Drosophila melanogaster: one gene and its partner. The protein of the gene in region 1 interacts with the protein of each later gene in a biochemical or structural test. Each region holds a gene or a part of one and is shown in the gene's direction. Other genes may lie near its edges. The genes, in order: eIF4E4 and eIF4G1.

Evidence for each region.
Region 2: the proteins of eIF4E4 (region 1) and eIF4G1 form a complex in vitro, tested with the Drosophila melanogaster proteins (one study listed by BioGRID).

The regions. Positions count from the first base shown.
Region 1 is NT_037436.4:6,663,437-6,667,520, reverse strand, and holds eIF4E4 (eukaryotic translation initiation factor 4E4), read left to right. Parts: upstream 1-1,879; 5' UTR 1,880-2,013; coding exon 2,014-2,354; intron 2,355-2,406; coding exon 2,407-2,506; intron 2,507-2,586; coding exon 2,587-2,674; intron 2,675-2,929; coding exon 2,930-3,090; 3' UTR 3,091-3,297; downstream 3,298-4,084. Other genes in the region: Grl65a (gustatory receptor-like 65a), read left to right, coding at 1-673, 737-883.
Region 2 is NC_004353.4:927,560-932,746, reverse strand, and holds the start of eIF4G1 (eukaryotic translation initiation factor 4G1), read left to right. Parts: upstream 1-2,031; 5' UTR 2,032-2,235; exon of another isoform or gene 2,236-2,465; intron 2,466-2,615; 5' UTR 2,616-2,667; intron 2,668-2,723; 5' UTR 2,724-2,847; coding exon 2,848-2,925; intron 2,926-4,595; coding exon 4,596-5,187.

The DNA.
Region 1 (4,084 bases):
GGAGTTGCTAAACCAAATGCTGAGAATCATGAGGCAGGTGAATCTAATGGCCAGGCACCCGAATCTGTTTCGCCTGAAACATTTGCTGCTCCTTCTTTTGGCCCTGCAAAATCTTTTAAGATCACTGAATACGATAGTGGGAATAAGTAACCACTCTGCTGAAGCTTATGACTCTTTTCTTAATAGCGTTATCCTATTAATTATACTGGCCGTCCTGCTGAGCTTTCTTCTTCAGATCACCATCAATATTTGCCTCTTTGTAGTGCTCATTGCCACGTATAGCGAACTACACCATTGCACTCGACGAATCTCAAATGATATGGATAAGCTCAGACTTCATTCTGTCCATGAAAGTGGTCAATTTATGGTGTTGGTAAAACAACTTCAAGGAATCACTGAAAAATTAATTCGACTGCGTCAAAATGTCTTTCATATTACCGTCAGAATCATACGGCATTTCCGATTTCATTGGCTGTGTGCTATTATCTACGGATTATTACCATTCTTTAGTTTAACAGCTAAAGATCAAAATGGTTTTAACTTCCTCATCATTTCCGCATTGAACATAATATTCCAGTGGACTATTTTTGCGATTCTTTCTCGTGAATCAAGAATCACCCGGAGTTTATGCACTTTTCACTTGACCAATTACCATAAGGAAACTGCTAGAACGGTGAGTAAAACTATATAATATAAACTAGTAGGTTTTTTTTTTGAGTTTTCTTTTGAAGTACAGATTGATGAATTACTACATCAGGAAATTTGGGAACGTATCACAGTCACCATATACGGCAATACACTCGACACGAAATTGCTGTTCAAACTGCTATCCATTAGTGCCTTTTGCGCGTTTGTTAACCGACTGGAGTACTTGCACATCTAGTGTCCTCAATAGATCCTGCCATTTAACTGTCAAATTAAAGTCGGAGCAGTCCTTGCTCAATTTCGATATCGTCGTTTTGTCTATTATTAGCATTCTGGGCTGTCATGTTATCGCAACTGTTGTGCACCAATGTCAATTGCACAAGTCAAAAACTGCCTCATAGATGACTTTCGAGATACTTTGCCGGCAATTACGTAGCTGTTTCATTGTTCCACCATTTCGAACAAGCTTCATAATATTTTCACTTTTATGGCAGGCAACATAAAAGACGACAGCTTTGGCAATAGCAACAACATCATCATTATCAACACCATCAAAGCCCGGAAAATTTCACCTTCTGTGACTCCACCCCCCCTCCCAACGCCGTGCCTTTCGTCTCCTTTTGTCCCCCTCAATTGTCGTAAAATCATAGGAAAAAAGAAAGGAGCCAACGGAGGCGAAAAGTGTGAGTGCGTAAATTTCTCTCTGGACTCGGAGTCGCTCAAGTGTCCTTCCATTCTGTGTCATAAAATTAACGCTTTATATGAACGAAAGCATAAGGCGCTCGATTTTTATCACCAAGGCCAACAAGATGGCCATAAACGAATCAGGAACATGGAAACGCAGAGGAAAAAAATAGGCAGCTAAGTATCTACAAATGAAAGTGTAATTACAAAAGATTTATACTGATTTTTAAATAAACTTATAGCTAAATCTATATATAAATAAAAATGTATATTTTCCCAATTACAACCCACTTCGTACTGTTATTTTCTGGCAGTGCATAAGCCCATAGCGAACCTTATGAGAACATAAAGAGTTAAGAGTTGAATTAGAAGCAGAAGAAACTGGGACCGAAGTACGTTGGGTAGTAAGAGAGGTGGTCCAAAGAGTGCCTAATTATTTACGTGCAATGAAAGTTATGAATTGGGGAACAGGTCAAGTCGGCGAGGGTAAAAATACCCCCGAACCTCCCTATGCCTTTACTGTCTGTGTGAATGGCTTCAGTCTGGTTTCGTAGCCAGCCCCTTATACACATTCTCGTGTTGTGGCTGTGAAATCGTTTTTCCCAGGTGATCTGAAATTTTATTAGCATCCATTGTTATAAATTTGAATCAGTATAAAAGATCATTCGCCAAATACACTCAACCATGCTGACGACCCAGCAGACCGAATTCAAGATGATGGACAACGGCACCGAGACGCTGGCCGATTCTCCTTCGAGTTCCAGCGAGGATCTGAAAACGCTTTCGGATATGGATATTCGCAAGCCCGTAACGGAGATTGTTGATTTGCGCCTTAAGCATCCGCTAGAGAACACTTGGACACTGTGGTACTTGGAGAATGATCGCAGCAAGAACTGGGAGGACATGCAGAACGAGATTACTAGCTTTGACATGGTCGAGGACTTCTGGAGTCTCTACAATCACATTAAGCAGCCATCTGAGATTAGAGTGGGCAGCGATTATTCTTTGTTCAAGAAGGGCATTCAGTAAGATTGGCTAGATTTATATACATGATTACCGATTTCCTATTCATTGCAGGCCAATGTGGGAGGATGATGCGAACAAGTTCGGCGGCCGTTGGGTCATCAATATGGGGCGTGGCTCCAAAGCGGAGCTCGACAAGCTTTGGTTAGATGTGGTAAGTAGCTATTGGAGCTTTGTGTCCATCGCCTGTCATATCAGTTGCAACTGCACAACCTCTTTTCTGCCCACTGACAGCTACTCATACTGATTGGCGAGGCCTTTGAAAACACCGAGGAAGTCTGCGGCGCCGTTATCAACTTGCGCGGGAAGAGCAACAAAATTTGTGAGTATTACTGAAAAAAAAAAGATGTGCATGTGCATTAAAAAAGCTGGTTACAAATATTATATTTTACTAAAAACATTACACATGTTTTGTTTACTTCGCCAACCTATAAATATTAAGTGGTATACACCTAGGTTGGCTCTGTTTTTTTTTTTTAAACATAGTTTACACATTGTAGTTTTGTAGTGTACTCAGCTTAAGTAGCCAGTGGACACCACCATGACAACTACTAACCCAGCGCCTTTACTCCGCAAGCGATTTGGACCGCCAACGGGCACAACGAGCTGGCCGTCATGGAGATTGGACTCAAGTTACGCGACCTGCTCGTCCTGCCGCCCCACCAACTGCAGTACCAGCTGCACAAGGACACTATGTGCAAGCAGGGATCGGTGATCAAAGCGGTTTATTGCGTGTAAGCCGTCTCCGTTTTGGATGCCACCCACCACTCCATCCACCAACCACCCACATTTCCATGGCCGCTTATGCCTCTGAATGCTGTTTCCAGCGCGTGTATCCGAAAAATATAAAAAAAAAAATGTATCTTGAAACAGAACTGGTTTTATGAATTTGACCATGTTAAAAATTGCAAAGAAAGATGTAAATACATAGTGTTGTGAATGCATATACGACGAGCCATCATTAAATTCCCCAGTTTTTAAGTCCCAAGGAGCTCTTTTTATGCCGCTAGTTGGACCCTTTATGCTCCACAAAATGTTATGCAAACATATGCCGCACCAGAGCGCAAATAAAATGGTTTATATACACTTGCAGTTTGTACTTTTGGCCGGGCCAGCTAGAAGTGCACAGTGACTGCAAAAGATAAACGTCCACTTGGTTCGCTTGGCTGGCCGAGCGAAAAACAAAAGACCGAAAAGGGTCAACAATGGCCACGGCGGATTGTCCGTTTTAGCGAGTGCCACAGTACCCGGCGCTGAATCTCTGGGATCTCTGGTATCTGGAACTGGCGTCGAGGGCTTCCAAAATGGAGACAATTGAATTTTGATGAAAGGCCGAACGAAACGCCGTTGCCTCGCGCAGTATTAAAATTCATGCTATGAGCTTCGAGTTCGAGTTTGAAAAGAGACTCTTAATTTGCGTGTAAAAAATGTTATTTTAATAATTTAAAAAAAAACCTATTAAGTACGTTTTTAAAGTATCTTTGGTATTCTAGTATCTATAACCATTATCGAATGACAAAGCTGTAGGTTCCCTCACATGCGGCTGGTAACGTTTATTCAACCCTTTGTTCAGCCCCTGTGACGTAACGTTTTAGCCAACTCGGGTCACCAGGCCATTCAATCAACATTGAAATTCCGATGGCAGCGGCACGTGCAGTAGCAACTTCATTATGAGCCACTTTAAGCTGACAAAACTCATCTCCATCCGCATAGCCCGTTGACTGCATTTTAT
Region 2 (5,187 bases), on another chromosome or scaffold:
TTAGAGAGCGAGAGAGCGGAGAGTGCTACAGCGAACAGCTCTTTTCATCGCATAAAGTGATAGCAGACAACTGTATGTGTGCACACGTATGCTCGCTCATGCATTGTAAATTTCACAAAATATGCCCTTCACCTTAGAAGTTCTTTGACTTTAAATCTATATTATTTTTGATCAATTGGCACCATGCGAAAAATTCTTGTTTTGCATTGCCTTAACGTTATTATTATATGAAAATAGATTAGAAATAGCCAAATCTATGTACATATTATCACAAAAATAAATTTCAAAAATGACTTTATATAAGAATATTTGTCATTAGAGTATTCATCTTGCGGCGTGTGAAAAATTAATAAGGCAATGATTGTTGAGTGCTTGTGTCCGTACTTCGTGCTTCAAGATATGAACAAAGCAAAGACACTAGAATAATTCTAGTGTCTTTGATATGACTTTTGCAATAAACAGTTATCATATTTAATTATTTACTATATTTATTATGTCATTTGACTTTATATGATGTAACATTAACATTAAAAGTGTTTAAAAAAAAAAATATTTCGCTTTCTTAAAAAATTGTCAGATGAGAGACAAATTAGAATTAAACATAAATATAAATGTGTAAACGGTAGCTAATTCGAGCGGCGATTTTAACAAACAAATTTAAAAAGCTTTAAAATGATAATAGTCAGTTAAAAATTATTTTATTTTATCATATTGCTACGAAATTGGCAAAAACTACCCTAATATGTACAATGTAAATTCGTTTTTTCGATCAGAATTGATTTCGGTCCGAAAATCGTCTTCTAGCACAACACGCACACATATATGCGTTCTCGTCTCTTGTTTTTACTCACACAAGCAAGCAAATTCTATTTTTAGATTTCTTATGCTCTCAGCGGGAGCGAGCGGAAAGAGAGCAATTTTGGCCGTCACTAAAAAATTGGCTGCATAGTGCCAAACCAATGTATGGCCGCTACGCATCTTGTTATTCTAGTGTCTTTGGTAGAACTATGCTTGGAACAGTCTTTATTTGTAAGCTTATTCGTGGGGATGTTAAGAGTTCTGACTTGATTAGTCGGCTTAACTTCTCAGTTCGAAGTAGTTCTCAGTAGTAGTTCTCAGTTCCTTATTTCAGTTCTCAGTTCCTTATTTTAAATCATTGTAGATCTAACTATGAGTTGCGTGACCCTTACAGAGTATTATGTTCTGATTATAATAGACTTTATCCTAATATCTGTAATCTTGACTCTCTGCCGCTCACAAAGCAATTGATTTTACCTTTTTTTATTTTATGATTAGATCCTACTAACAGTAATATTTAATATAGTTATTTTATATTATATTCATTTCCTCGATCCTGTTCTCTTTTTTATATCGCGTCTATCCTCTCGCTAATCGAGGCGTACGATACACGGCAGCGCCCCTCGTTCGGTTGGTCGGGAGGTGTCGCCGTTGGACCCGTGCCAAAAAAAAAAAATATATAATAATAATATAAAATAATTGGGTCTGAATACGGATTATTTTTGTTTTGATTTAAATTCTTTTATTTATCGATATTTTGATGTAATATAGAATCGTTTTTTACCAATTTCTTTATTGTCATATGTATTTTAGTCAGTGTGAAAGGGTCTTATTTTGGCCATAATTAACTAATTATATTTTACGTTCAAGAAACCCTAATTACGATGAAATTAACATTTTGTTTTAAAGTTGCCCATATGTTGTATTCTTAGATATAATGATCTATTTAGCCATGTTGCGGAAAGGGCTCATTATCAGGAATTGAACGCTGGCATAGCATGTACAATCATTATTATAATTTTGGCAAACCTCAATAGAATAAACGTATTATGAAGTAGTTTTAGTAAATAATTAACATTGAAATATGATTTTTTTTTTATTTTTAAAAACTTATGGTTAGCAAAAAATTAAATTATTAATGATGAAGCGTTTAAAAATGTGACCTAACTATCGTTGATAATGATATTCTTCAGTTATCACTATTTCTTGTGTGCTATCGATGTTTCAAATAATAAATGCAACTCTGTTCGTATGAACAGAACACATTGCATGTGGAAATTATTAAAAAATAGTTTTTGAATGTAAAGATAAAGCTGGAATTACTGCTTCATTTTTATAAATAAATACATTTTTAAAATACACTTAAAGTGGAATTCTTAACATTTGTATTTTTTGTACATAATCACGTCGGATAGGCACATACAAACATTTGCTCAGGTAAATTGATGGTTAATAATGAGCACTGGGCAACAAATATTACATGATACTTTGCAAGTTTACTGTGCACAGTGAAGGGAAAAAAGATTTTACCACTAACATTCTGAAATGTGTCTTAACTTTTTAAAAATGATGTAAACGATGGAATTCGTGGCACGTTTTCACCATATGCACCATTGTGATTGTGAGAACGAAATCTCCAAAGTCACAACGGCAACGTCGGCAAATAAGTAAGGCTCCAGGATGGATTGGCAAATGTTTAATAGAAATTATCTCTGGGCTTCAGCTCTAGACTTAATAAATTACAAAATGTCTACTTTATATTTTTGAAACATTTGGGTGAAATCTTTTGTGATATTTAATGATTTTATACGTGTCAGTTCTTTTAATTTCAGAGACCTCTCTGGTAGCTGTATATCAATATATTTCCAGGTAAAATATGCAGAACTGAAACGTGGACAATTAATATTCATTAATATTCATTAAAGAATCAAATGATTGAATGACGTCGTATTTGTGGGTCCAAAATCACCACAGAAATCGTCTATGAAACGGTAAATCTAACCGTTTGGCGATTTCCTACAGAGCTAACTCTAGGAATACACATACGTAATGCAACAGGCTATACCAACTTTACCAACACAATCAGATATAGATAAAGCCATGCAGCCCCATTCAGCACAAAATATGGTAAGTCGATATAAAAATAACATCTCCAAAATTATTTACATATATACATTTTGACATTATTTGCTGTATTACTTTCCTTGCAATTGTTTTAAATTAGTTCGTTAAATAAATATGTTTTCCTAGTTCCGAAAAGAGCTAAAACCTATTTTTTATAAGTTTGCCTGCTGTAGTCAATGTAAACAATCTATTAAGATAGTATCACACTTCTCGTACAATAACAGCAAAGTTTAAAAAGAAAATGCTATTTTTGTGGAATTTTTTTATATGTTTGTTTTATAAATATTGCGGTTTGTATAAAAGGTATATAATTCAATTAAAAAATTTATAAAATATATGTTTGCGATTACAATTATTTAAGTTACTTACTAAATGAATTAAAAAATTAAAAATTTTTTTAACGAACTTGATTGAATACTAATAATTGTTCTAGTCCTGTAAAGCTACATAATTCATAAATGAAGCTCTTCCGGGCATGGTATGAAGTACTTTATTTAAAACCTAAACTATAAAAAACCGCGTTTTTCCAAACATACATAAATCATATAGTTTTTATCGGTAAAAATATTAATTAAAAAAATTTTTATTTCAACGGTGGCTCCAAAAATGGATGCTGAATCTGGTTTGTTGGTAACTGGCAGACACTCAGCAACGTAATTTTAAAGCTAAACTCAAAACGCATTGTGATTAATCTATCCAAGGGAAAAAAAATATTCGAAATGTATTTTATTATATTGATTTAAAGGATTAATGATTTCACATATCCAAGTCACAGAATCAGTCCATATATAATAGTCCCTAATATAATAGTTTCGTTGTTTTTATTCATAAAATGTCAACTTGATATTGTATTTTATAGTGATGTCCTTTTGAAGGGCTTAATGATATAAGGCATATATTTAAATCGCAGTAAAAGAGATATTTGGGACCATATAAATTATATATATATTCTTTATCAGTATCAGCAGCCGAGTAAAATAAATATAAAATAGTCCAGAAGATAATAGCTTCATACTTTTTATTTCTGAATGACAACTTGATATACACCGTTTTTTGACCGCGTATAACTTTGGTTTTAAGGCTAATTGTCAACATGCCGGCGACGACTAAGGAGCAACAGTCGGAAAATTAAATGAAGCTATAACAAAATAAATAATAGTTTAATTGTTTTTAATCATTTAGTGTTCTTATTTTGTACGCACAACTTTTTTTTTATTAATTAATTAATCTTGTAATCTATCATTTGAACTGTGTTAGACAGCTAAATCCCATAAACATTATTTGTCCATAGGGGACGTAGGACAAAAACTCTAAACCCTAATAAAATTATCAAACCCAATGCATGTTTTATATATATTTGTTAATTCTGGATTTATTTATCACAAAATTTGAGGCTGAAAAGTATTAAAAAATCTGCATAAGTATAATATTCAAATTTCACAGTGCAGAAGTGTAATACTACTCAAAATTCCGATTCTTGATTTCTCAGTTTCATTTTATTTTTAAATGGGTTTGTTTTGGTTTTTTTAATACTTTGTTTAAGTGCAATAAAGTAGGATTAACCAATTATCTAATAGTTTTTATAACTTATATATTCGGCAACATTTTTTTTTAATCATTGTTAAATCAATTTTACAGTCCGAAAATGTTCCCACTCTTGTGATCTGTTGTAGATTTTGCCAGCCAATAAAAAGACCAAAAAGTATGATCAACAGGTGCCAACTTCAAAGCCACAATCTCTTCATCAGCCTCTTCAACCGCAGCATAGCCATCCCACTGCTCAGCCTCAGTTTCAGATAAATAAGGCATACAATGTGGTCTCCATTCTTAAGGCATCAGCGCAGATCGCTCAACAGTCCCCACACTTGACGAATCAGCAGCATCCACCAATCCATCACCCACAGCAAACACAGCAGCATCAACAAAGCTATACAAACGTTGTAAATAGAAGCTTATCTGCGTCTGAACCAGTTAGAGCCCAGTCATCGGTTATCTGTAACGGTTCAAGCATATTGACAGTAAATAGTAGACAACTGAATTCGGGTGATATGAATTCGACTGCCATTTATAACATATCCAGTTACCGAAAATTAACTGGAAGTCTAGATGGAAATGTTTGCTTTCTAAATGTACAGGACATTAAACAAAATGGCAACATCAGTGGGTCAGTAGTATCAAATAAGTCCATCGTCGGAGTCGGAAGTGAAAAAAGTTCTTGTACTGGAGTCAGTATTAACAACCAAATAGTATTGCCTAATGCGCAAA